Linked DNA regions of Drosophila melanogaster. Changing the gene in region 2 together with the main gene of any one other region gives a genetic interaction. Each region holds a gene or a part of one and is shown on either strand. Other genes may lie near its edges.

What was found. Genes that interact genetically often act in the same process or in processes that back each other up.
Region 1: of Gyc76C (region 2) and kermit, changing one enhances a phenotype caused by changing the other (phenotypic enhancement), as found in Drosophila melanogaster (one study listed by BioGRID).
Region 3: of Gyc76C (region 2) and trol, changing one suppresses a phenotype caused by changing the other (phenotypic suppression), as found in Drosophila melanogaster (one study listed by BioGRID).

What each region holds. Positions count from the first base shown.
Region 1 is NT_033778.4:8,151,710-8,159,428, forward strand, and holds the start of kermit (kermit), read right to left. Parts: upstream 4,946-7,719; 5' UTR 4,705-4,945; exon of another isoform or gene 4,346-4,704; intron 1-4,345.
Region 2 is NT_037436.4:19,788,671-19,796,550, forward strand, and holds the start of Gyc76C (guanylyl cyclase at 76C), read right to left. Parts: upstream 4,900-7,880; 5' UTR 4,758-4,899; intron 2,941-4,757; exon of another isoform or gene 2,778-2,940; intron 2,372-2,777; exon of another isoform or gene 2,214-2,371; intron 1,585-2,213; 5' UTR 1,294-1,584; intron 1-1,293. Other genes in the region: SREBP (sterol regulatory element binding protein), read left to right, coding at 6,240-7,722, 7,783-7,880. UniProt on the Drosophila melanogaster protein: Guanylate cyclase involved in the production of the second messenger cGMP.
Region 3 is NC_004354.4:2,540,483-2,548,369, forward strand, and holds the start of trol (terribly reduced optic lobes), read right to left. Parts: upstream 4,946-7,887; 5' UTR 4,901-4,945; intron 4,427-4,900; exon of another isoform or gene 4,281-4,426; 5' UTR 4,142-4,280; coding exon 3,983-4,141; intron 1-3,982.

The DNA of each region.
Region 1 (7,719 bases), on a different chromosome or scaffold from region 2:
AGGGTGTATCAAAAATTACAAAGTAGGCATAAAGTATCAGAGAATGGTATTACATTTTTCATTTGCGTAATGCACGATAAAGTTGTTATTATCAATTGAGCTGTTTTCTGCTGCAATCGACGCTGCACTTGTTTTTATTCATTAGAGCGCACTGTCAAACACCCGAGTTGTTTTTTGTTTTCGTAGGTTTGTAAACAACGTAATTATCTGCTTAATATTATTTTTACTAAAGGGGGAAATGAGGGGAAAGGTGAGCCCTCAACTAGAGGTGAACCTTGATTTAAGTACCCATCGCCATTCCACTTCGTACATCTGTGCTCAACAGTCATCCCCAAAGTATAGGTTTTGATTGTTCGTAAACCTTGGGAACCCAAAGGTTGGTTATAGTTATTTTCAATGTTTGTTTGTAGTATCCACAAAACCAAAAGTAGTGTATTCCAATGCCAAAACTAGAGGTGCAGAGAGCGCAAGAGAAAATAGTTTTGATTTTTAAGAGCATTTTCTCTTTGCAAAGAGAGCGCAAAAGCTTTTGTAAAGCTTGCAAAAGCTCTTCAAACTAGTTATCAGTTGGGGAGATCTCCATTTCGTTGACTAGGTCAATTTTTTCGACTCAATGCGAAAATCGCCGGCAGCGCTGCCGAAAGGCGAGAATCCAGCGAAAGACCGCATGATCTTTGCTAACGGTGAAACTTAATTCGAAAAGTCAACATTTTGTGGGCAAAGGCACTGAGACAAGCAGAAAATTGAGCTTGCCATATCTAATGAAATCGAAGAAAACGCTGCACTGGAAAAATACTCAGCATAGGTTAAACATATTCAAACTGAAATTTCAGTTTAAAGCTGTTCGTTTTATTAATCCAGTTTAAACTTTATTGTTGTCCGTTTGGTTAAGAAAAATGCAAAATTTATAATATAATTATAAAATGAATATGTAATAATATCTGGCGTATTCGAAGAGAGATTTACTTTCCCCATTTCTATTGATTTCCAGTGGAACAGCCATCAGTTTTGACATTCATATATTATGTATACTAATATAAATCACTTAAGTTTTGCCTTTATATTTATGACATTTTAATCAGTGTTGTAGGTAATAATCGCTTATTCGAGCTTGAAACCTTAGAAAGACAATATATAAAAATATCTCCCTGTGTCGTGATGCTAATGCATAAATAAACAGTGACATCGAGCGGTTAGTCTAAATTACAAACAAACCGAAGATTGTAGTTGGCGAACGAAGACCCGACCCACTGCTAATATAAACAAGTATCCAATTTGCTATTTCCACAGATAATTCAGATGGACTGTGGGCGAAGCGAAAGCTTAAATGTCGCTTCGCCCTGCCCAATTATATGTTGGTATTATTTATGCACTGTTTTTGTGGCATTTTCCGATCACGTTTTCTGCGATTCCTGTGTTTCTCACTACATTATTCATAAATTGCTGACATTTTGCATTTGGCATGGTCCCGAACCAGAGTCGTTGCTCCACGATTCGATGATCCAGTGCAATGAACTCGCAGCCCTGGCTGAAACATATCGAATGGCCCTTTATGGGGCATATTCCACAAAAACTACTAATGTGGAGCACTCAAAACACCCGGGCACCGACATTAGGGTCTAGTTAGCATAATGCACAGCCAAACAACAATGAGCACCACACGCAACGTCAAGTATGTATATACATATGTATCTAAGTATCTACGTATGGCGAAGGGAAAACATTGGGGCAGTTTTGAAAACATTTAACCGTTTCACCTCGCTGAACTGCGAGCTCGAAAAAGCAAATTAAGCAAACGAATTATAGCCGAAAAGCCGTGGCAATGTTTGTTTTGGGCCAAGTTTACGCCGCCCGACAATCTAAACTCAAATATGAATTTTATCTCTTTGTAACGTTTCTCCAAAATATGTTAATCCGAAGGCTGTATTGTTTTCATCAGTTCACAAATTACGGGTGATGAAATCGGAGCGGAAATTCGGGATAATTAAAACTGGAAGTGGCAAAAAAAAACAATAATTGTAGATATATGTACATAAGCGCCAGTTTTTGTATCTGATAAACAATAAAATCCGATCTTTCTATTACTTCTGATTGTAGGCAAAGACAAGTATTTAGTGTGCAAAAAGATTGATCGCTGTGCCCAATCATGTATTAATGATATGAAACGACTGAGGAACTGTGGATAATTAAAGCGGAGTAGAAACATCACGCAGATGGAAAACATGCAGATTCATTCACACCAGTTCCGAGTACATCTGATACTGATTGCAAAAACGTTAGTGCAGTAATATTGCACATGTGCGGCAATGAGTGCGCATAAAAAGCGCAAAGTACGGCCATAAAAAGCACAGTTAAACTGATTGCCAACTGTTGGCATGACGGAGCAGCCCGTGGCAGCCCTAGCTACCAGACCAGACCAGACCCACGATTCTTCAACCCATTATTCCCAGCCACCGCTCATCCCGCTCGGACCATGCCGCTCCAGCTTTTCATAAAGCGCCCCGTCGCATTGAAATGTCACGCAAGCAATTTACATAAATGGAGTTGCTTCCGCTTGGTGAGCTGGAGAACGGAGAGCGCGGAGCGGACACAGTGCATCGCATCCAGGCAGAAGAGGAAGCTATCTTGTGTATCTGACGGGGAGTATCTGCCTATCCGAGCGCTGCTCACGTACGAAAACAACTGTTAGCAAGTGGCGAATGGGCGGGTAAAAGGCAACAGCCGATAGCGGCGGAGCGGAAGCGGACGAAGGAATCGAATCGATCAAACAATTTCCGAGCTGCTCGTCTGCCGAAAATACACAGCGAGAAATATGCCAGAAATCATAACTCGTTAAACCTAGAGATACTTATCTGCCTCAGTTAAGTTCAACTTTGCTAGTTTCTTATCTAAGATTATAAGAGCAGATCGAAGATCTTCAAAGAAACACTTGTTTATTGCTCTGTATGAGCTTTAAGCTAGAGCATCTTCGATGGGTTTCCCACTGACCAACTTCACGGTTAGTTAACACCTTAATTTGCCTACAAATTGCTCAAGTTTGGAGTTTTGAGTTTCTTTGGTCATGGTTGCGTCTTTCGTTGCCCCTTTCTTTTCGGCGGCCAGCTGAGAAGTGCTTGGCCAGATGAAAACTGAGGAACGGAAAACTCAGTGCGTAGACCCACGTGCTGGCCGCATTAACTTCACAGTTTTGTAAGAGGGAAAACGGAAAAGCGGTAATAAATGCCCCGATGTGCGTGCTGGCTGCAAAACTGAAAAGGCGCTTTATTATCGCCACTTCGGCGAGGCATTTTGTAATGTCTAGGCTGGAAAAATCAATTCGGCCGTGAAACTTCAACGAAAACGAAAAGCATGCTGTTTGCACCCCCGAAGTGCAGCATATTTTTGCGACGACGCACAGAAGCCGGCACCCTGGGAAATCACATGGATTTGGAAAGTCCTAACCTCAACATAATAGCGGAAAATGAACTAGCGACTTGGGGCAGGCAATGGCCACAAAGCACGGAAATGCCCCTTTCAGCGTTTCAGTTTTCGGGGTGAGTTTCGGTCTATGAAATCACTTCCGCTTACGCTTTTTTCCTCTGACATACAGACAGTGGGTGTGGTGCCGAAACACTTGTCACGCCACAAAACCAATGATTAGCCGCCCAGCAGCTGCAAAAATCGATAAGGTCCGTGGGTCAACAGCGTTTTGGCCTGTCTTGCCGGTTTTAAATGCATCCAAGTTTTTAAAAATGCCTGGCTGAAAGTAAAACAACTTGAACCACGAATCTTTTCTTTCGTCTCATCAAATGTTGTTTATCGATATTATTATTTTATCGATCGCCTTTGATTTCCTTCAATTTCTACCCCGGTAACACCACCTTCCCCTGCACTACAGTCTGCTTTAGTTAACTAGTAATCCCAGCTTGGAAATTGAAATTCCTTGTTTTTTTGTGACGCATTGCCTGTTGCCAGGCGGTTGCATGTTGATTTGGCCCACCCTCCTCCTCTCACCACACGTCCTGATGACTAAGAACGATTTCGCTTTCCTCGCTGCCGAAGCGAAATTCAATACAAAAGATGGGAAAACGCGTGCCGCCGCCTTTCACTTTACTTGTTCGTCGGTTGGCGCAGAAAAGAGTCTGTTAGGCAAATGAATGGGCAACCGACTGAATGGATGCCAAAGATGCTCCACCACCGGGGCGGGGTGTTAACAATTCCCGAAAGACAATGCAGTGTGTTGTTACGGAGCATATATAGTATGCATAGTTATAGTATATACATAGAAGATACCACGCACCAGAGAGAGAGAGAAACCCGATCAGACCAATATAATGTCGAAAGTGACGGACGGTACGGAACGCACCTGCTAGGCGATGGGCGCTGTGCTGATGACGCGCTGCTGCAATTGCATATGTATATCAATTTGTTGATAATGATAGTGGTGGCTATGGCCCGGTTTTAGGTATCGCCGATTTCCAGACTTCCAGATCGTGGGCCCGAGGAAAGCGCCGCTAATGAGCGAGGAAAGCGGACTTCTTCGTACCGGACCAGTTGGATGTCGTCGTCGTCGCCTCGCACACTCGAAACAATTTGTTCTTCTTTTGCCCACCAACACGTTATTGAATCTCTTTCACTGCCAGCTAACTGGTTTTTTCAGTGCTCCGCCACTGCTCGCCAAATACACACACATTGACCACTTTCCAGGGTTCTCTTTTCACTCACTCTCGTGCTTTGATGTCGCGATTTTACCGATCTACCGCCTGGGCGTTCAAATTGAATTTCAACCACGACGTCGTCGCACAATTCCGCTAATTAAACTAGTCGTCTCGGTTAACTAACGCCCGGAAAATTGTGGCCGCGCTGCGCTCGAAAATTCGGACCTCGCGCTGTAGAAATGCAAGAATAACAACAACTGCGCCAGCTGAGCGCCAGCTGAGCGCCAGTGTGGCCAGCCACTCTGTTCGCGGTGGGGAAACATCGATGCCGCCATCGATGCTGACAATCGGCCTATTGAGTACTTGTGGCTTAACATTTTCGGTGAGTTTGAAATTTTGGCGGTTAAGGTGCACTTACCAGATTTAAAGGAACTTAAGTTTTCGTGACAAGTTTGTATAGCATTGACTAGCCTCCACTATTTTGGTTAAGAAAATATAAAACCAGCAACAATAAGACTAATTGTAGACGGATAAAAAATTAAAATCTTAATAAGGTCACTGTAATGAAAATGAAGAAATGAAATGAACACAAGAACAAATCAAACAAATGTGCTTATTTCCTGGGGTAAATATCTCATACTGCATTTGACTAATGATATATATTATACTTTCAATCAGCAGAATGGTAGTCTAAGAGAAAAAACTCTTGCACCCAATATTATGACATTCCTCGACCAAAAAATAACAATTTAGTTGATAAATATTTATACCCAAGACTTAAGCTTCAATTTAAAAATAATTTAACCTGAAGTTCAGCAGGTGGTTAAAATCGACTCCGTTTGATAATTTAATTTCATAAATACATATATTTGATACAATATATGTAATTACATTAGCTAAGTTTGGTGATTTAAAGCAACATGTATCTCATTTTATAGGACGAAATTCTTGGGTGGATAGGAATACAGTTCCTAAGCGGTTCCACCGAGTTGCTTGGAAAGTTGCGATCAATCCACTTCCTGAACATGGACACATTTTTGAAGGTCGAGGAAACGTTTGGCCTGCCGCAATCGACGCCCCAGGCCACGATCCCGACCTGGTGATATCTAGCGAAGATTGCGTCAGGGGAACAAACCAAGATGGACCCACCGTCACCAACGCAGACATCCTTGTCCTTCTGTCCGCTGACACATATGAGACTGGTGGCAAGCTGAAACCTGGTTTTCCTCAACATATTCTGGCAATCTCCTTTGTTTACTATGGGTAACTCGATTTGCTTTTGTATACTCGACATTTGAGAGTCGTTAAAAGAACGCTTTCCCCATCCGGAAATCACACAGTGTGTCTGCTCAATGGACGACCCTTGAAGAGGTAAGCAGATGGGCTGTATGTCATTTTTAAATGCAAATGTAGACTCCAGGTATAGACAACAACAGGTGGGCTGCCGTTAGTACAACCTCAGGGGCAATCAGGGAACCTCCTCCAAAGAACGAGGACAGGGACGGATTCTCCATCTGGTGTAGTAGGGGTAGAATGGATACAAGCTGCGTACAAACTCTGTGAACCTGTAGTGCACTTACTTGAGCTCTTATTTCACTTACTTGAGCCCTTATTTCACAACACACTTAAGTGGGTCCACAGAATACATTAGTCGGTCGATGCCAATCGCCGGTTTGGTGCACTCCCATCGTTGGCCAAACATCGTTTTGGATAATAACAGGCGTGGCCACAAACCAACCAGCTCAGGAGAAGCACTCCTATGGTCTAGTGGCACTCCATTGTCCGATTCAGAAGACTACTTGCCGAAGACTGATATTGCAATAAGTGGTCTCAGCAGGCTTTCTTATTACATTTCTTTTTTGCTGATAAGAATAAAAAAACATGCAACACGCTTTCCAAGAAATTGAAAATTGTAATCGAATTGTTTTATATTTTATATTCACACATATTTCTATTTGTTTATAACCCAATAGGCTGGAATACAAAAAGGTAATCAGTATATACATAGATAACATCCACTTTATTCGGACTTTAAATAAGTAGCGATATGAGTGTTTAGAGAAGCACCCCCAATCCAAATTGATAACCCAGAACGCCGCTCTCACGAAGGCCCATTAGCTCAGTTGGTTAGAGCGTCGTGCTAATAACGCGAAGGTCGCGGGTTCGATCCCCTCATGGGCCACTCTTCATTTTTTGCTTTTAGCCGGATAACTAGCCAAGTCGATCTAGGCATTCCAGTCTTCCTCACTTATCATCTAATCGATGTAGACGCCCGTTCACGTAGTGACGAAGCGCACCCTGAGAGCGTACGAAAGTACTCAGTGAGCATTCAGAACACAGTTTTCTAAAAAACAAATGTATAGAGACATCAATGTGCTCATTTAGCTAATGGGCATTATTATTGGTCTCATGTCAGGAATAGATCTTTAATCGCATTCAAATTGCATATCATTTCGACCAAAGATGTCTTATTAATACGAAATTCAGTAATCGCAAGATAGAAACTTACGCCCGAAGGTGCAAAAAGGTCAAAAGGTGCAATAGGCCATTTTGCTGCGAACTATACAAATGAAATATAATTTAATAATATAATTATTGGAAATATATTAGTTTACTAATTGATTACGAAATCCATTTTCCTTGAAACTCAATGTACAAAATGCAAGCATAATATAATTATTATAAATAGAATATTAGTTTTATTATGTTACAGTTTAATAATCATTCATATTGCATTAAAACACAATCCTATGTTTTGAAACATAAATCCCCTCAAAATATTTGCTTTCTACGTACTGATCCTAAAAATGTAACTCATAATCACGTATACGCAATGTTGTCTTGTATGTGCGTGCAGTGCAGTTTTAATGTTTAAAATTAGTTATTTATTAAAATGCAACTTCCGAAAAAGCATATCCATGTGGTGACTGGAATCTCCTACGAATCCAAAGGATCAGTTTAGGATTTTAAAATTCCGAGCCTTTGGCTAATCGATTATCTCCCAACTTAGCATGGAATTGAATCAACTAATTTTTTTAAAGAACTGACATCTGACCATTCCCATTACTGCATTTACTTTATC
Region 2 (7,880 bases):
AAGGAATCTATTTAAATTAAATGGCTACATTATACTACAGCTAGTATCAGTATAAATCAAATAAAACACTAGTAGCATTCAAATCAAAATTCAATATTTTCCTTTAAGGTTAGTTGTACCTACATTGCGAATTATCTAGGATAAATGGGAAAAAAACAGAAAACACCTGTTCAATCTGAATGGTGGATGACGACGGCTTGGTTGGCTTTGAAGCCAGAAATAGGGAGTCGAACATGTTTATTACTTAATATTTTGCAAGCAAACACCATGGAAATGGGGGAAACATTTGTATTTCTTCGTAAATGTTGACACAGAACAGATACTCAAAAAAAATACGATTCAACGTGCAAGTTGTGGGCATTCTGCGTTTCTGCCAGTTGCCAAAAATAATATGCTGTAAGGTCTCGAGGAAGCTGTCAATTACGACCCACCCACCACCCCACTAGCGCATACACTCCTGTGCAAATAGCGAGCGCCTTCCTATAAATACACAATCTTTATTAATAGAACGCTTTCAGAGATCGAACATTTCAATTTCATTAGCAAACCGAGAATAATGTAAACAAACGAAACACCCAAAAAATGCAGTACGTTCAAGATTTGATTTTTTCTCAATTTCAATTTTTCTTTTCCACACCATAAAAATTTAGTTCGACCAGAAAACGCAAATGAAATTGTTTAGAAAAGACTCCCCGAAGGCTATGTATGTACGTAGAGGCCTGGGGGAAAACGCCTGAAGCCACATCAGCAATTTGAGCACTTCCCCACCGACTTTTAACAGAACAACGATGGGAAAAGCCAACTTGTTGCGGTTCATTGCCGGCATTTTGGTGGCCAACTTTTATCGAACTCTCTCATTCGTTAGGGGTATGGGAAAAGCAGGAAAATTGCGGGAAAATCTGAAGGGGAGCTTGGGTCCCAGCTGAGGTAACCCAAGAGTTTCGGTTTCAATGCAAGTGGCTTTCCCACTGACACCACACACGCATCGGGGTAATTATTTAAATCGGAAATAGCTCGCATTACGGATTACCAAAAAGTATTGGTTTTTGGCAAATAAATTGAAAGCAAAACTGCCGGAGATTAAGTAAACTTTTTCAGCGGTAACCAAAAAATATGATCATGTGATCATTTTAAAACAAAATGTGTAACTATTTTAGTTGTGTTTCTAGTGGTTTCGAAATTTATTTAACAACTATATACACATGTATATGTATGCATATACATATTTACTGGTCATTTCAGTTCCGCGAGATCGTTATAATCTTTCTTGACAAAGATATGAGGCTAACTTACAGGTTGACTGCTCGTTTTGTCATCAGCTTTTGCCAGAGATCGTTCTTCCCTCTCTTTTCTGCCTGCTCATCCGATGTTTTCGCTTCGGATGCCTCCCACGTTGGCGTTTGGATTTACAGTTAGATAAAGTTTTTTGTTTTTCACGATCACGGCGTTTTCCTTTCTATTCTCCTGTTTTTTGTTGGATTTTTGTGCAGTGTTTATTTTTCTAATTGGCTTGCTTTTTGGTTGTTTAACGATTGTTCACTTTGTGCTTTTTGTTATTCCGGTTGCTATTTACTCGCGTTCTCTCTTCGGATGGGAAATATTGTGGTTAATATACATTTAAATTTCGCGTTGTTTTTGTTGTGTTTGCATATGGGCAGAGAGCTAGTGGGAGAGAGTGAATAACTAACTAATGTTTGTAGCGGTAAATTTCACAACAATGCACGCTTAAAGAGCAATCAAAAAGAAGAGAGAAATGCATTGTATTGGGTTCTGGTTCTTAAAGCGCAAAGAGCGAACAAGATTACTGCGAAGAATCTGGAAGAACAATCGAATGCCGAACTGTTCAAATTCTAAGTGTTTGAGTATTATTTTCGGAATTTATAGTCAAATAAGCAAGTTAATATGACAAGGTTCGAGTGTCCAAAATTACACCGCTGTATCAGTAGAGTGGCTTATCAGGGAAACAAAACAAATCTGTTATCTTTGCACTGCTCTCCCTCTCGCTGACTGGCCCGAAAAACAATTATCACAAATTCCAGTTTTCGTTATTTTTTCGATTTTTTCCCCGTATTGTTGTAAAATTTATGGCGCTGCGGCTGCGAACACTCTTGTTAACACATTTGTCGGAATTTGTTTTTCATTCAATAATAATTATTAACACAAACCGCACTGGATTTTATTCGAAATTCTATTCGGCTTTTTACTTTTTTCACCTTTTTCGCACTCTTTGGGTTTTGTTTTTGCCCCAATCCAATCAGAGAAATATATATATTAAACATACATATGTATGCATAATATCTTTTTCTGTGAGTGCGTATGTGTGTGTGCGAGAGTGCGATGGGGCGCACGCGGCTTTGCCGATCCGAAAAAACAACTTGGGGCGCAGGAGAATAGAATAATACTGAAAGCCCCAAACGAAAATCGGGCGAGCGACACCGCATGCTCCCAGAGATGGCACTTTGGCTTTTTTCACTGTGTTAAGGTAGGCATATGAGGACGCTTTATCAAACAATTTTAGTTTCGCTCAGTGTAGGATATCCGAAAGATATCCATCAAGATATATTATCAACACTTTTTTAAAATTTTTAAAACTAGGTTTAAATGGATTAAAAGATAAATAGTCAAATTATATTGAGCAGATACATTTTGGAAAAACATAGTCCTCATTTAAAAATTGCACGATAAAAGGTATAACTAAGTACTATACTAAGAAAAGTAGCGTTGACTGCCACACACTTAGCGGTTTTTGCTATCCGCCAAAGATTTGCTCCTCTCACTTGCCATCACTGATTTCCGTGCTCTCGGAGATGATATGAGAACAGTAATTGACGCTGCCGCTGCGGATCAACATGTGTGTGCTGTAAGAGAGCGGGAGAGCGAAATCAGTTCTCTCGTTCTCCCGCTCGCACACATTCATGCAATGGGCATCTGCAGCGAATTCTATTTTTAAACTTAAATTAATATTGTTCTTTATTTTATCAGCAGCGGCGCGAAAATAAAGCAGGCAGCGTCGGCGTTCGAAGGCGGCTGCTGTGAGGGAGAGGCAACGGGAGCGGCGGCGGAGAGCAGAAAACAAATAAATAACACGAGAAAAACTAGACGCTGCTACTGCTAATCAGGCAGAGAAAAGATATCACTGTCTCCTTCTGTCTCCATCCCTTTCCCACTCTATGCCGCTCTATCGGGTGTGCGAAAAGCGAAGCTCAAATGCTGTCGCAGTGCTAGTGCTCTGTCTCGCTTCGGCTCTCTCCATCTTCTTTGCCCGCTATCACCGCTTGATAAGAAATGCGTTAATCTTTATTAAGCGCTGCCGCTGCTAGTGTGTGCGTGTGTATTGGTGTGTATTCCGCTGAGCTCGTGCGTGTGTGCGTTTGCGGAGTATTTACATGGGAGTTTTTCATTTTCTGCTGACAATTTCCGTTGGAAACTTTTCGCCAAGGAGGTGCTAACACTAGCAAAACTGGCAAAGTCCAAACGGAAAATGTAATTTATGCAGAAAGCCGGAGAAACAGAAGCACAGAGAGTATGAGAACAGTCAGAAGAAGAAATAGAAAAATCGGACCAAATCTACAACAACAGCTTGTTGGATGACTCAATATTGCAGTGAAATAAAGGCTCTTTTGTATCAAGGAAAATAGGAAATGATTAATACAGGAATATTTCCAAGTTGCAAGACAGTTGGTAAATAACAGAGTCATAATCACAGCGTTCGGTAATATATTTAGTTTAACATTAGGTTAAACTAATTTTAGTTATTTTATATTTAGTTTAACATTAGGTTAAACTAATTTATTGAATAAATAAAGTCTGTATATTTGGATTTGAAGCATATCCATATATTACCGAGAATAATAAAATTATGCTGCATCATACATACAATCGGATTTATAAAGATTTTGATAAGCTAAGGTGAAGTAGAAATATAAAAAATAGGATTTAGTAGTGAAATAGTCCTCTTAAGATACTTTTCCTGATGACCGTTGGTTGAATGTTTTCAGTTTAATTTAAATAATAGGCATTTGATATAAATAAGCTTCGTCTATATTGAAAACAATACACCTACACTTAAGGCAACCAAATTTGCAGTTAGTATTTCCAATTGGCGACCGTAAAGGTAAACAAAAATGTAAACTGTTGCAGACAGCAAATGCGGTAAATCGCAAAAATCGTAAATAAATCCTAAGATTGTGCCAAAATAAAACCGTTTTAAAGGTTATTCATAGTAGCAAGTGCAAGTTTGTCGGTCGAAAATGGCAACCCTGGCGAGACAGAGCGAACAAGTGTGAGCAAGAGCATCAGAGAGAGGGCAGAGGAGATCAGTTGTTGTGATAATGCAACGGGTGAAGAAAACAAATGCAAAAAGTTTCTGCGTGTGAGCGCGAAAGTGCGTGAGCGGCGGTCCAAACAAAAACAAAAGCGCGAAGCAAAAATGGTTTTCTTTTTGTTTCAGTTTATGTTCCTATTGTTGTTGGTTGGTAGGTTTTTTTGCTTTTCCAACGACGTGACAAGTGCAAAGAGCGCCAAATTGTACATTTTTATGCATGGGCCGCCAGTGCATTGTGAAACTTTTCCGACTTTGCCTTTATGGCTGTGCATTTGTTTTATCACTGCAGCACTTTTGCCATTGCGATCGTGTGGGTGCCGCTACTTTGTGTGTGTGCATTTGTGTCTGCGTTTTCGAAAGAGCAATTCAGAACGCAATTAACACTGACGGCGCCCATGCTGGTTATCAATTAAATCACATATTCACTTTGTACCATTTTACTAAAAACGAATAAAGAACCTCATCATGTTGCTCTTTCCAAACGGTTATTTCGAATTTACCGCTTCTCTGGCTCCGCGATTCGTCCGCGTTTCCCGTTTTCCGTCGCGACTACCTACCCGATTTTGAATATGTGATGTAGCAGTGTGGCCAGTGCGTTGTGCCAATTTACCGGAACTTTTTGTCTTCAACATTCCTTGGTATTTTTAAGTAATTCTAGCGCGGTCACACGGCTCTGGCGCTCTCTTAATTATTCTCTTGAATGTAGGTAGCGGTGACATCCACCACGCTCAGCGAGGACAACCGCATATTTTAAATTACACTTATACATGTTGAATTTATTTCCTTACTCTGCGTGTCAGAATCAGCGTTGATATTTTATGGCAGTTTTATAAAATACATCATAAACTATTAAATATATATATTTCTATACAGGCATTGTAAGTAATACAGCTGTTTCTTGATGCCAGGGAGTCAAGACCTGAACCAGTTCCTTAGGCCCGAACTACTGCTCGTCATCCCTGAAGAACAAAGTTTACTGCAATCGAAAGCAATTGTTTATTAAGCTGCAAATATACTCGTGAAAAAAATCAAAACAACCATGAACAACAAGTGTTGCAACTATTACTAACTAGTCGCTAGTTTAAAGCAAAGTGCGTTGACATTAACCAGTTATGGAAAAACAAAAGCACACGTGAACTAAGAAAACAGATAGAAGGTGGTAAAGGTGCGTTTCTTTTTCTGCTAATAATGTAGATAGTGTCTAATAGATTAATTTTCGCGGAAATCAGATCGGGAAACCAGTGGAGCCTGGGAAAATGCCCTGTTGGAGCTCCCAAAGGCCAAGTGGCGTCACTAAAAACATCGTATGATCCGGTCGAGCCCTCTGATTGGTTGAAAGCGCTTACGCATGCTTTCCCGGTCGCGTATGTGTGTGTGCAGTGCACAGTGGGCCAAAAGCGAAGTAAAAGCTTAGACCGTTTAAAAATATTCGCCTCTATTGCAATTTGCATTAGTCTAGCAAAACTTGATATAGCCAAAATGATCTCAAGATATTATATTTTGTTCCTATTTTAACTACGAGCAAACAACAAACAAACAAAAACAAGTTAACACATATGCCATTTTCAGGTCCGACTGTGATTCACTTTAGGTTTGAGTACAATTAAAAGATTTATTTTAACTTTGTTACGTATATTACAAATTTAATTATAAAAACCCCTTTTAATCTGTTATTAAAGCTGCAAGTGGCCACTGTGGAAAAAGGGTAATTAAATGAATTAATGTGATTATAAACATATTAATATTTGTTTTTTCCGGCACCAACATACTTGTCCCACTGTTGTTATTGCGCCGCATAGAACTTTAATAAACAATCCTCAAATGTACAAACATACATACATAAATATGCACATACGTGGGCCCGCCAGTATTTAATTACGAACCGTTTTTGTCCCTTTCATCAGCAGCATTCGCAATGGACACGACACTGATGAACTTAATAGACGCTCCGCTGGACGAGTCCATGGATTTGTTCAAAGCGGAGGATGTCTTCGAACCGTTCGACGCCGACCTGCACTCGGACATGCTGGACATCATCCTCAACGACATGGACCTGGCGCCGACGCAGATGTACAACATGCTGCTGGACGAGCCTCGAACGCATACCCAGCAGACGCAGTCCGTGGATCAGCAGCCGCAATCCGTCGAGCAACAGCCGCACGTGAAAAGCGAGCACTCTTCGCCAGTGCACATCAAGGAGGAACTGCATCAGCAGCAACAACAGTCGCCGCTTCTCGTCTACAAACCAGATCCCCTCATAGCCACAAGCTACAATTGTCCCCAGCAACAGCCGACGGGCCTTTTGAAGGCCGCCCAACCAACAGCCACCATACATCACATGGACGCCCAGCGGATGCCGCCGAACACGGCGGTGTATCCCCCATCTCTGGGCAGTAGCTTTGTCTACCAGTCCATGTCCCCGCCCACGTCGCCGGTGGAGTCTGCGAACCAGAATGTCAATGTCATGCAGCCCGTTGCTGCAACTCCTGCTCCCGCTTCTGCTCCTTTGCCCCAGCAGTCGTATCCGCAACCCTTCATTACGTACAACTCTAAGGCCGGAATGACTTCCGATGAAGCCATGTACTTCCTCTTGCAGCCCACGGTAGCCAGTCCAACCCCATCTCCACCTGTGGCTCCACCACCGACAAGCACAGGTAGTCGGGCCAGCAAGGTGCGAGTGGCACCACTGGCTCCGTCACCTGCCGCTATGGAAGTCCAGGGCAAGGTACCTATCAACCGGGTTCAACCCAAGGTGAAGGAAGTAAAGCGCTCGGCCCACAACGCCATCGAGCGGCGCTATCGCACCTCAATCAACGACAAGATTAACGAGTTGAAGAACTTGGTAGTGGGAGAGCAGGCCAAGCTGAACAAGTCCGCAGTGTTGCGGAAATCCATAGACAAGATTCGGGATCTGCAACGCCAGAATCACGATCTGAAGGCAGAGTTGCAGCGCCTGCAGAGGGAGCTAATGGCACGCGACGGCTCCAAGGTGAAGGATTTACTTCAGCTGGGCACTCGGCCTGGTAGAGCATCCAAGAAGCGCCGCGAGAGCTCGCAGACCTTTACCACGGATGCCGGACTGACGCCGCCACGCAGCGATGAATCGGATCCTTCGCTCTCGCCCATGCACTCGGACATCTCGTTGCCGCCATCACCCTATGGTGGATCCACCGCCAGCTGTAGCAGTGGCAGCAGCAGCAGCAATGAAGAACCACTGGTGGTGCCCAGCTCTATGCGCGGCATGGCCACCCACTCTCGCCTCGGACTCTGCATGTTTATGTTCGCCATCCTGGCCGTCAATCCCTTCAAGACCTTTCTCCAGCGCGGCCACTATGACAGTAATGACGATCTTGGCGACATGAGCGGTCAAAGACGCATTCTCTCTTACGACGTGGAAGGTAGCTAGCCTAGCATCCAGATGTTGTTAAATATTGCTAATGGGTTTCTCCTTGATTTAGGTGAAGGTTTTGCTGTCTGGCAGCAGAGTTCCTGGATATGGCTATTGAACTTCACACTGATGCTTGGATGCTTGGTGAAATTGCTGGTTTACGGTGAT
Region 3 (7,887 bases), on a different chromosome or scaffold from region 2:
ATCTTTTCTTGTACTGTATTTCAAAATCATTTGCATCCTTTCCCCTATTTCTATCTATTTGTACAATCATTTCGCTTGACGTGTTATCTAAATCAAAGCCGAACAATCTTAGAATCTCTATGGCTTAAATCGCCTTTATCGATGAGCCCTGCGATGCCTTGAATTTCGAATGAGACCTACCCAAAAAAAAAAAAAAAAAAAAAATACGCCGATTGCCTTGCATACTAAGTTTCGCGATGGGATCATCAGCTTCGATTCTTGGCGACAATATTCTAAGCTCTATAATCGCTTCTTTTTTTTTTTTTTTTTGCTTAAATGGAAAATTTAAATGCAGTTTTCAAACACATTTTATGGCATCATGTGTGCGAACAATGTGTCTTTACTTTTCGTATGTCTTGTGTTCAGTGGGATTGGGATGATGACACGATATATATATATATATATATATCTAGATAGCTATATATGTATGTCCACCCACACGGCCTCCTGCATTTTGCAATAACTCAGAAGGCAAATTGCGACAGTTTAGGAATTTCCCCATCCTAGAAATGCTGTTAATGGGTGCTGGGATGATTTTTTGTATTTTCTCGCTGCTTTTTTCTATTTTCAAAATTTACGCAATGCAATAGTCAAACAATAATTGCTCATATGCGGGCAGCTCACATATATTATGTATATATACATATATATATATATATATATATGTAGTATACTTGTGCCCCACAGACGCGCCATGCAAATATTAAATTACAATAGTTGGTTGGGGACTGCGAAGTGAGAAATGAAAAGTCAGGCTGAGAAATTGGTTTACCCTACACTTTGGAGTTATTTTTCAATGTTTAGTCTATGAGGCAAATACCTCAGCGGATCCCTGTTCGCATTTTTGTGGCGAAATATTCGAGGGTGGAATGAACTCTAAAGAACATCAGTTGGTGTATCAGGTGTATCACAACAGAATAGGTGTTGATTTTCAATTAGTAATCAATTCCACATGTGCAATAAAAAACACGTTCTAATTGCATTTCACAAGACAAGAAAATTCGGCTTATCTACGTGTTGCGATGCATCATTTTGTCGCGTTGCATTATAGGGTATTGGCCGATTTAGCCACTCCGAGTTCCCAACTTTAATGCTCCGCCTCGAATCGAAAACTTTCGTCTCTGGTATCTTGTCGCCATCTATTTTTAAATGCTTGCCTCATAGCCTTGCCTCTCCCCATTGACTCCCAGATTCCACCAGTTCTTTCCTTACAGAAATGCATACGTCAGCCAGGGAAAATAGATTCCGGATCCGCAGAAATGAATCGCCCGGTCTGGGCATCTAAGGATCCCTCCCGACCAGGTCAAATGCGGCTGCCCCAGTGACTAATGGCAATGGAAGCCTGGCATCTGGCAATGCCAATTTGACAAAGCCAACACTCGGCGATATCGCCAATCAGCGTTTCATATACAGTTCCACAAATAGGAAGGGAAAAGCGAGCCAGACACTTCACTCGCACCTCGCACCTCGCACATCTCGCATAAACAGTTTTAAGTGTGCCAGTTGTCTCTGCCCCCGCGGCCCCGCCTCCTTATCGAGTCCCCGCCCCTTGGTCAATGTCTGAACTTGAGCTCAAGTGGGTGAGGGGGGGTGTAGGGTTGGTGGGTTGGTGTATTAGACAGCCCCAGCGTAATATTTAAACAAATGCTCGCATGACGCTTCCCGTGAAACTGCATGTGATCGCTGTGCGAATGTTTTCGGTACACAGGAAAAGAGGTTGGGCTATATACAAATGTTACATATTTTACTTGCAAAAAAAAAAAAAAAAAAACATTTTATTCGGCAAGTGAAACTTGATTGAAGGTATTAGCTTATATTGAAATCAACTGATCCACGCCTTTTCAACTTAAAGGCCATTTCCCAGCGATTCAATAAGGCCAGCAGAATGAGGCAGATACACAAACAGCCAGGCAGCCAAGCAGCCGGTCACATGTGTGATCGGGGGTACAACATCTTGTGTCCATATGTTGCACAAACAAACAGAAACCGTGAAGCCACGGAAACAAGAAAACCAGAAAACCGAAAAACAAGGAGAACTGAAAACCGAAGGGAATGTGCCAACGAACGCATCTTCAGACCAATGAAAAACAAAGAAAACATAATCCGAAAAGCTGAAAAAGAAACCAAAACGATACGGGCGAGTCAAAAAAGCTGCGAAATGATATTTTCTCATCTGTTGGCTGCCGTTTTGTGCTTTAATTTTTTTTTTTTTTTTTTTCTTATTCGCTTTGCAGTTGTGTTGTTGATGATGCAAATATTTTGACAGTTTGTTTGACAGATATCGGGGCACACAACGGGGCGTGATGTGATGAGCGATATACAAGCCAAGGGCCAAGAAGGGTGGGGGGTGAGGGATCGGATACCCTTGGAAAGCCGGAAAAGGGCCATCGAATGAGGACCCATCTGTCGATGTAAACAGAGCAGCACAATTCGCTTGCCAGGCGAATATCAGTTTGAAGCATCAGAAGTTGCCATATGCAGTGAGTTGTACTTTGCGCTTCAGACTTTCAAGAAACACTATGGAATCAGTGGCGAGTTGCACAGTTTGCCAAAAAGAAAGGAATGGTGACATAACGTATGGTGTTTAAACTGATTATTGATAGCTAGCATATGTGCTTTTCAGTCAAGTTCAGCTATCAATTTAAAAACGAATAAAACCCAAGATAAACGATATCGAATGCCCCAAGGGGCACCGTGCCACCTGATCGTATGCGCAATGTCCGATGACCGGCAATACGCATACGCCGGATGGGCAAAAGCGGAGGATGGAGCTATCGTGCTGCAGCAGTGACCTCGTTTGCAGTCCGATTTGCAGTGGTTCCTTCTTCAAAGTGTGGCTCCCATTCCCGTCCCACTCCCAGTCCCAGTCCCACCGATAAGCCCTGAGCAGGCGACATAGCCCCCGTATGTATGTATGTGTACATGTGTTCGAATTTGGCCTCATTTACGCAACTTCCGATGTGATAAAAAGTGTGAGCGCTGCAGCAAAACAAATCGAATGGAAACGACATGCTCGACAAAATCAAGCAGAGTACCAGAATTGTCCAGCAGGTACTGCCGTCCGTTCACAAAAGCCATTGAAACATTCACAAACGTTCAGTGATTTTAAATGTTAATTAAAGAAATTATTTCATTGCAAGCAAATGTCTGTGGGCAACATGTCATTAACACGCTGATAACGCGCTATCATCAAAGCTCATTATGGTGGAAAACATACACACACACACTCGCACACACACACACAGCGACCCCTCCCTCCTTCAGGCACAAAGATAGAATTTGGAACTGAAACAATCGACTTCTCATAATAATTGGCAAAGCCATCCGAACACAATCGCATCAAATTCAAAAGCCAGCATCTGAACTCGATCCGAATTTGTGAAAAGAAATTAATTCAGCGTCTGTTTTTTCGAGAGAGTGATAACCTGCGATGATGACCCCGGCCCAATGGACTTGGTGATCTATTTTTTTGGCCTCTGCTCAACTCGAAATCCGGTCCTTAACATTGTCCGTAACCGAGCTCCGAAACCCTGAAGCCTCGAAGCCCGGCTCAACTTCCTAATTTGATGGCGAGTGGAGGAAAACTATTTTCCAAACCACTTACAATAAATACATTTTTATGCTAATCACTGGTGGCGCTCGTTTTGTGTCTGTCTGTCCCGCCTATTGGGAAAAAAAAACAATACTCGTATGTGTGTCATGCTAAATAGTTCAAGTTCGTCGCGGAACCCAGAGTTGTGTCATCCGGAATAAGAGATCATTGGGTTACCGATCTCGAATGGGATGTGCATCAGCTGATGGGCAATGGTCATGTGAATGGTAAGCGGCTGTTAGGATCATGTCACCGAATAGAACTAATCAAATTGTTAACTGCATTCCTGGGCCTCAAATAGCAATGTAATAATTATAATACTACATATCCCAACAAGAGGGTCGAACTCACCTTGGCATTGGTCAGCAGCGGTGCGTGGCAGGCGGCGAGGACGAAGGTCACGGCAAGGAGGCGCAGGAGCAACGATCCTCCCGCTTGACCTCTCCGCCCGCTTCTGATTCCGACCGAGGTCGCGATCGCGGACGCTTGGGATCCCGGCGATCCCATCATCTCTTTTCCGGGTAACGGCGGTTTTGGTTTCTTTTGGCAGCTATTTAGGTTTGGCTTAGGTACTTTGTGAAGGCAGTTTCGGTTCGTTTTGTTTAGTTTGGCTTTAAACGGCTGGCAGGTTGTGGTTACGGCTATGGCACTGCACGGAGAAAAAAAGCCCCAGACATTAATTCGCAATTGAGCAACAATTAAGCGTTAGACAGAGACAGAGATAGAGAGCATCCTGATATTATGTTTCTGGGGATTTTTTTCTCCGCGCACGGAAAAAGGGGAAGCAAATCGGTGATTTGACATCAGCAAAATTTTTTGGCTTTGGTGAAACCAAATCCGAATTAAAAACCAGAGAAACCGTCATGTTTCAGAAGTTTCTTCGAAAAATCCGAATGATCCCCTTTGATCATCTGTTCGCTCCTGGACGAGCCGATATTTGTTTCCCCTCTTTCTGTTCGCTTTTCCGCCTTTTCGCTTTATTTTCTTGTTTCATTCCTTATTCTTTAGTTTCGTTTCACACGCGATGGACACTATTCGTATTCGTTGCGAGTATGGGTTCCTTTTTGGGATCACACTAGTTAATGAATGAAAAAAAAGGAGCAGGGCTTGGGTTTTTGTTTAAACGTTGAACCGATATCACCAGGATATCTTGTCGGGGATTTTCAAAATTTCGGCACTTCGAGGATGTGAGAGCACTCAAAAAAAAAAAAAGACAAACGCTCCCCACAAGAGAGTCAGAGTCACACAGAAAACAAAGGGACAGCACACCGTGGAATGTGCGACCGCCTGGAACGATGGCGCGCAACCTAATGTCTAAGAACCGTTGCTGCGATTCCCATCGCTGCCTCTGCTCTGCCGGCGTCGCCCGAAGACGCACGAAGGCCGAAAGCGCGACGGAGCCGAAGCGATTTGCGTGCTCTTGTTATTGTTTAACGGCGCTTAATGGCCATTGCAAGCCTGTTGCGTCGATGCACCGCACTCTCTCTCTCCCTTACCCTCTCCCTCTATCCCTCTCTCGCTCACATGCGTGGGTGTCCGCTTACGCAGAGTTAGCTGCGCCTGCTCTCTCTCCTCTCGCTCTGCCTGTCCATCCTTATTTGCGGAGCGTAGTCGCGATTTAGCCAGTCGGCTAAAGCAGCATTTAAGGCCGTAACGATAGAAAAAAAAAAGTAACTATCACTTTAGTTGGATAGTAAGCCCCCCCTCCCCCATTTTTTTTTACTCAACACCCGCCCAAGTGGCTCTCGCTCTCTGGGTCAACTGATAAACAAGTGAAAACCGTTGCTCCTTGCTCTCTTTTCACCTTTCGTTGTTGCTGCGGCAGCCGGTTTGCAAATTATCCCACTCACTCCCACGAAAAGCGGCGCTCTCCTCGCACATTTTTTTATTGAAGTTCTTTGAATTTGACACTCAAAAAAAAAGGAGAGTCCAATAAAATGCTGATGCAATTCGCGTAGGAAAGCCAAACACCAGTGAAAACGTATTTGAAACACGAACTTTATAGCCTTTACTCGCTGTTCCTACGAATATTAGTGTTTATGGACAATTAATTCTTGGCGCACCTAAAACATACATACAACCATGTGAGCAAATCATCTTAAATGTGCAGTCATCGGTCTAAAATTGATGCAAAGCACTATTTTAAATATTCAACACAATACAAGTTTGGCAGGACGGACATCCATGTGATATTAGCATTTCGGGCTCGTCGGCTTTGGCGGTTAAGTCGGTTTGTCAACTGGCCATAGGACCGGCCACAATCCGTGACCTTCAGCCGATTTAGCCACCACCCCCCCCCCCCCTGTCAACACCACCAAAAAGGCGGCTTCCCATTGGCGCCTGACCCAATGACATCCGAAAATGACGCATGCGTGAGGGTGAATTACCGGACTTGGATGCCGACGCCCCACATGGAGGACCAATGGACACGTTGCGATTTTTTAGGGCCCCATCTCCTGGAATAATTGGCCCATTCCTCAGGTTCGTTTCCCTGTTCCTCCCCTTTTTCGCCTTTGCTAATGTAAAATATATTTAATATTTAAATGGTGAACGCTCACAAGTGGCCACAGCTTCCGTTCGCAGATAAGAAAAGGTACTAAAAATACACGCAGAAAATTGTTGAATACGCTATTGAAAATAATGGCAATGGTCTGTATACACTTGGAGAAATTAGCTAGATAGACACCAAATACACAAATACGTGCTTAATATTGAGCTTTGCCTAGGTGTTAAGTTTATAAATTAGTGATAAGATAACATTATAAATTTTAGTAAAATTGTGCACAAATTCATTTCAATGTTTTATTGGTCGCAGTGCGATTCTTGAACATATTTTCTTCAATTGAAAAGCAATGACATCTGTTCGACTTTCGTAGCACTTGTTTTTTCAACTGCTCAAATCATTTAATATTTAGACATGTGTGCACTCTCGAGCATTTCATTCAATTTAGGGAGTCAAATGTTATCACATCAAAATTGGAGCAAGTGCTGAAACAATTAGAATTATCAACCTAAGTCCGTAACCTATAAAGGTTATCAACGGTGAGAAAAACCAAAAAACAAAAAAAAAAAAAAAATATTTTTAATTTACCGAACTCACCACAGTCGTCGAGTGGTGAGTACACGATTCTGTTAGCCACATTTGCAATCGAAAGCTAGCTACAGTTTGAGAGCCATTGCACAAAAGCTTTTAGCCAAGTCAACAAAAAAGCTTTCCTAAAGCGTTTGCCACCAAAAGTATAAGTTTTTAACTGAATAAAATTCAATTATTAAAGAACAAGCTGTTTCAATTTAATCACACATTAAGAGTTTATGAAATAGGTGACTTACAGGATCTCATCTACTTGTCAAATTGGTTGTCAAATGTGGCCACACGGACAATCCAGAAAATGACATTTTTTTGAAGTGCTTAATAATAGATTTAAGGGTTATTTTCCATTTGTCCATATATCCTTTTGACAACAATGAAGATATCCCTGTCCCATTTACATTCCGCCCTCGTTTTTTGCACTCACTTTTACATTTTCCGAGCACATTTTTGGTTTCCGTTACCGACTTTCGACTTTCACACTAAATACTCGCCTTTCCCATTTTCTGGCCCAGTCACGTGTTTCGCAATGGCAACTTGTTTACTTTTGCATACGTAAAGGCCTGGGTAAAATGTGCTAGTGAATTAGACGAGGACGATATTTTGTAATTGAAAACTAATTGTTGCCATGAATGATTTCAAGCCACAGAGCTGCTTTCTATTTTTGCATCCGGTAAAAATAGCCTTTACGCCTGTTTAATTATTTTCTACAATTGAACAGGAAATACACAGCGAAACAGCTTATTGGGGTAAAGTTTGCAAAAAATATAACTCATACGCCCAGTGTAACAGGTCAAGTTGTGTTCAACATGGCGTATGAGCGATATTCCAAGGTTTCCATTGTTCAAAAGAAGAACGCTGCCATTCAGGAAAATCTAACATCTAGTGACTCGTAAATGATTGCTAGCAGAATTACGTATGTGTAAAAACTATGAAACCATAAGTGTGTATAGTTTATTTTATTTTACTTATTTATTTATTTTTTTTTTTTTTGTGTTTCTTGCGCACCTGCAGCTGACATTCCAGCCCAAGTTCTAGGACAGTGCGAAGCTATCTTTGCCAATCAACAAGCTTCCCAACTCGCAAAATCGACTGCCGTACACATAGATATATGTACAATGTACGTTTAAATCGAATTTCAAGGAAAGTCGGTTACGCGAAAACCCAA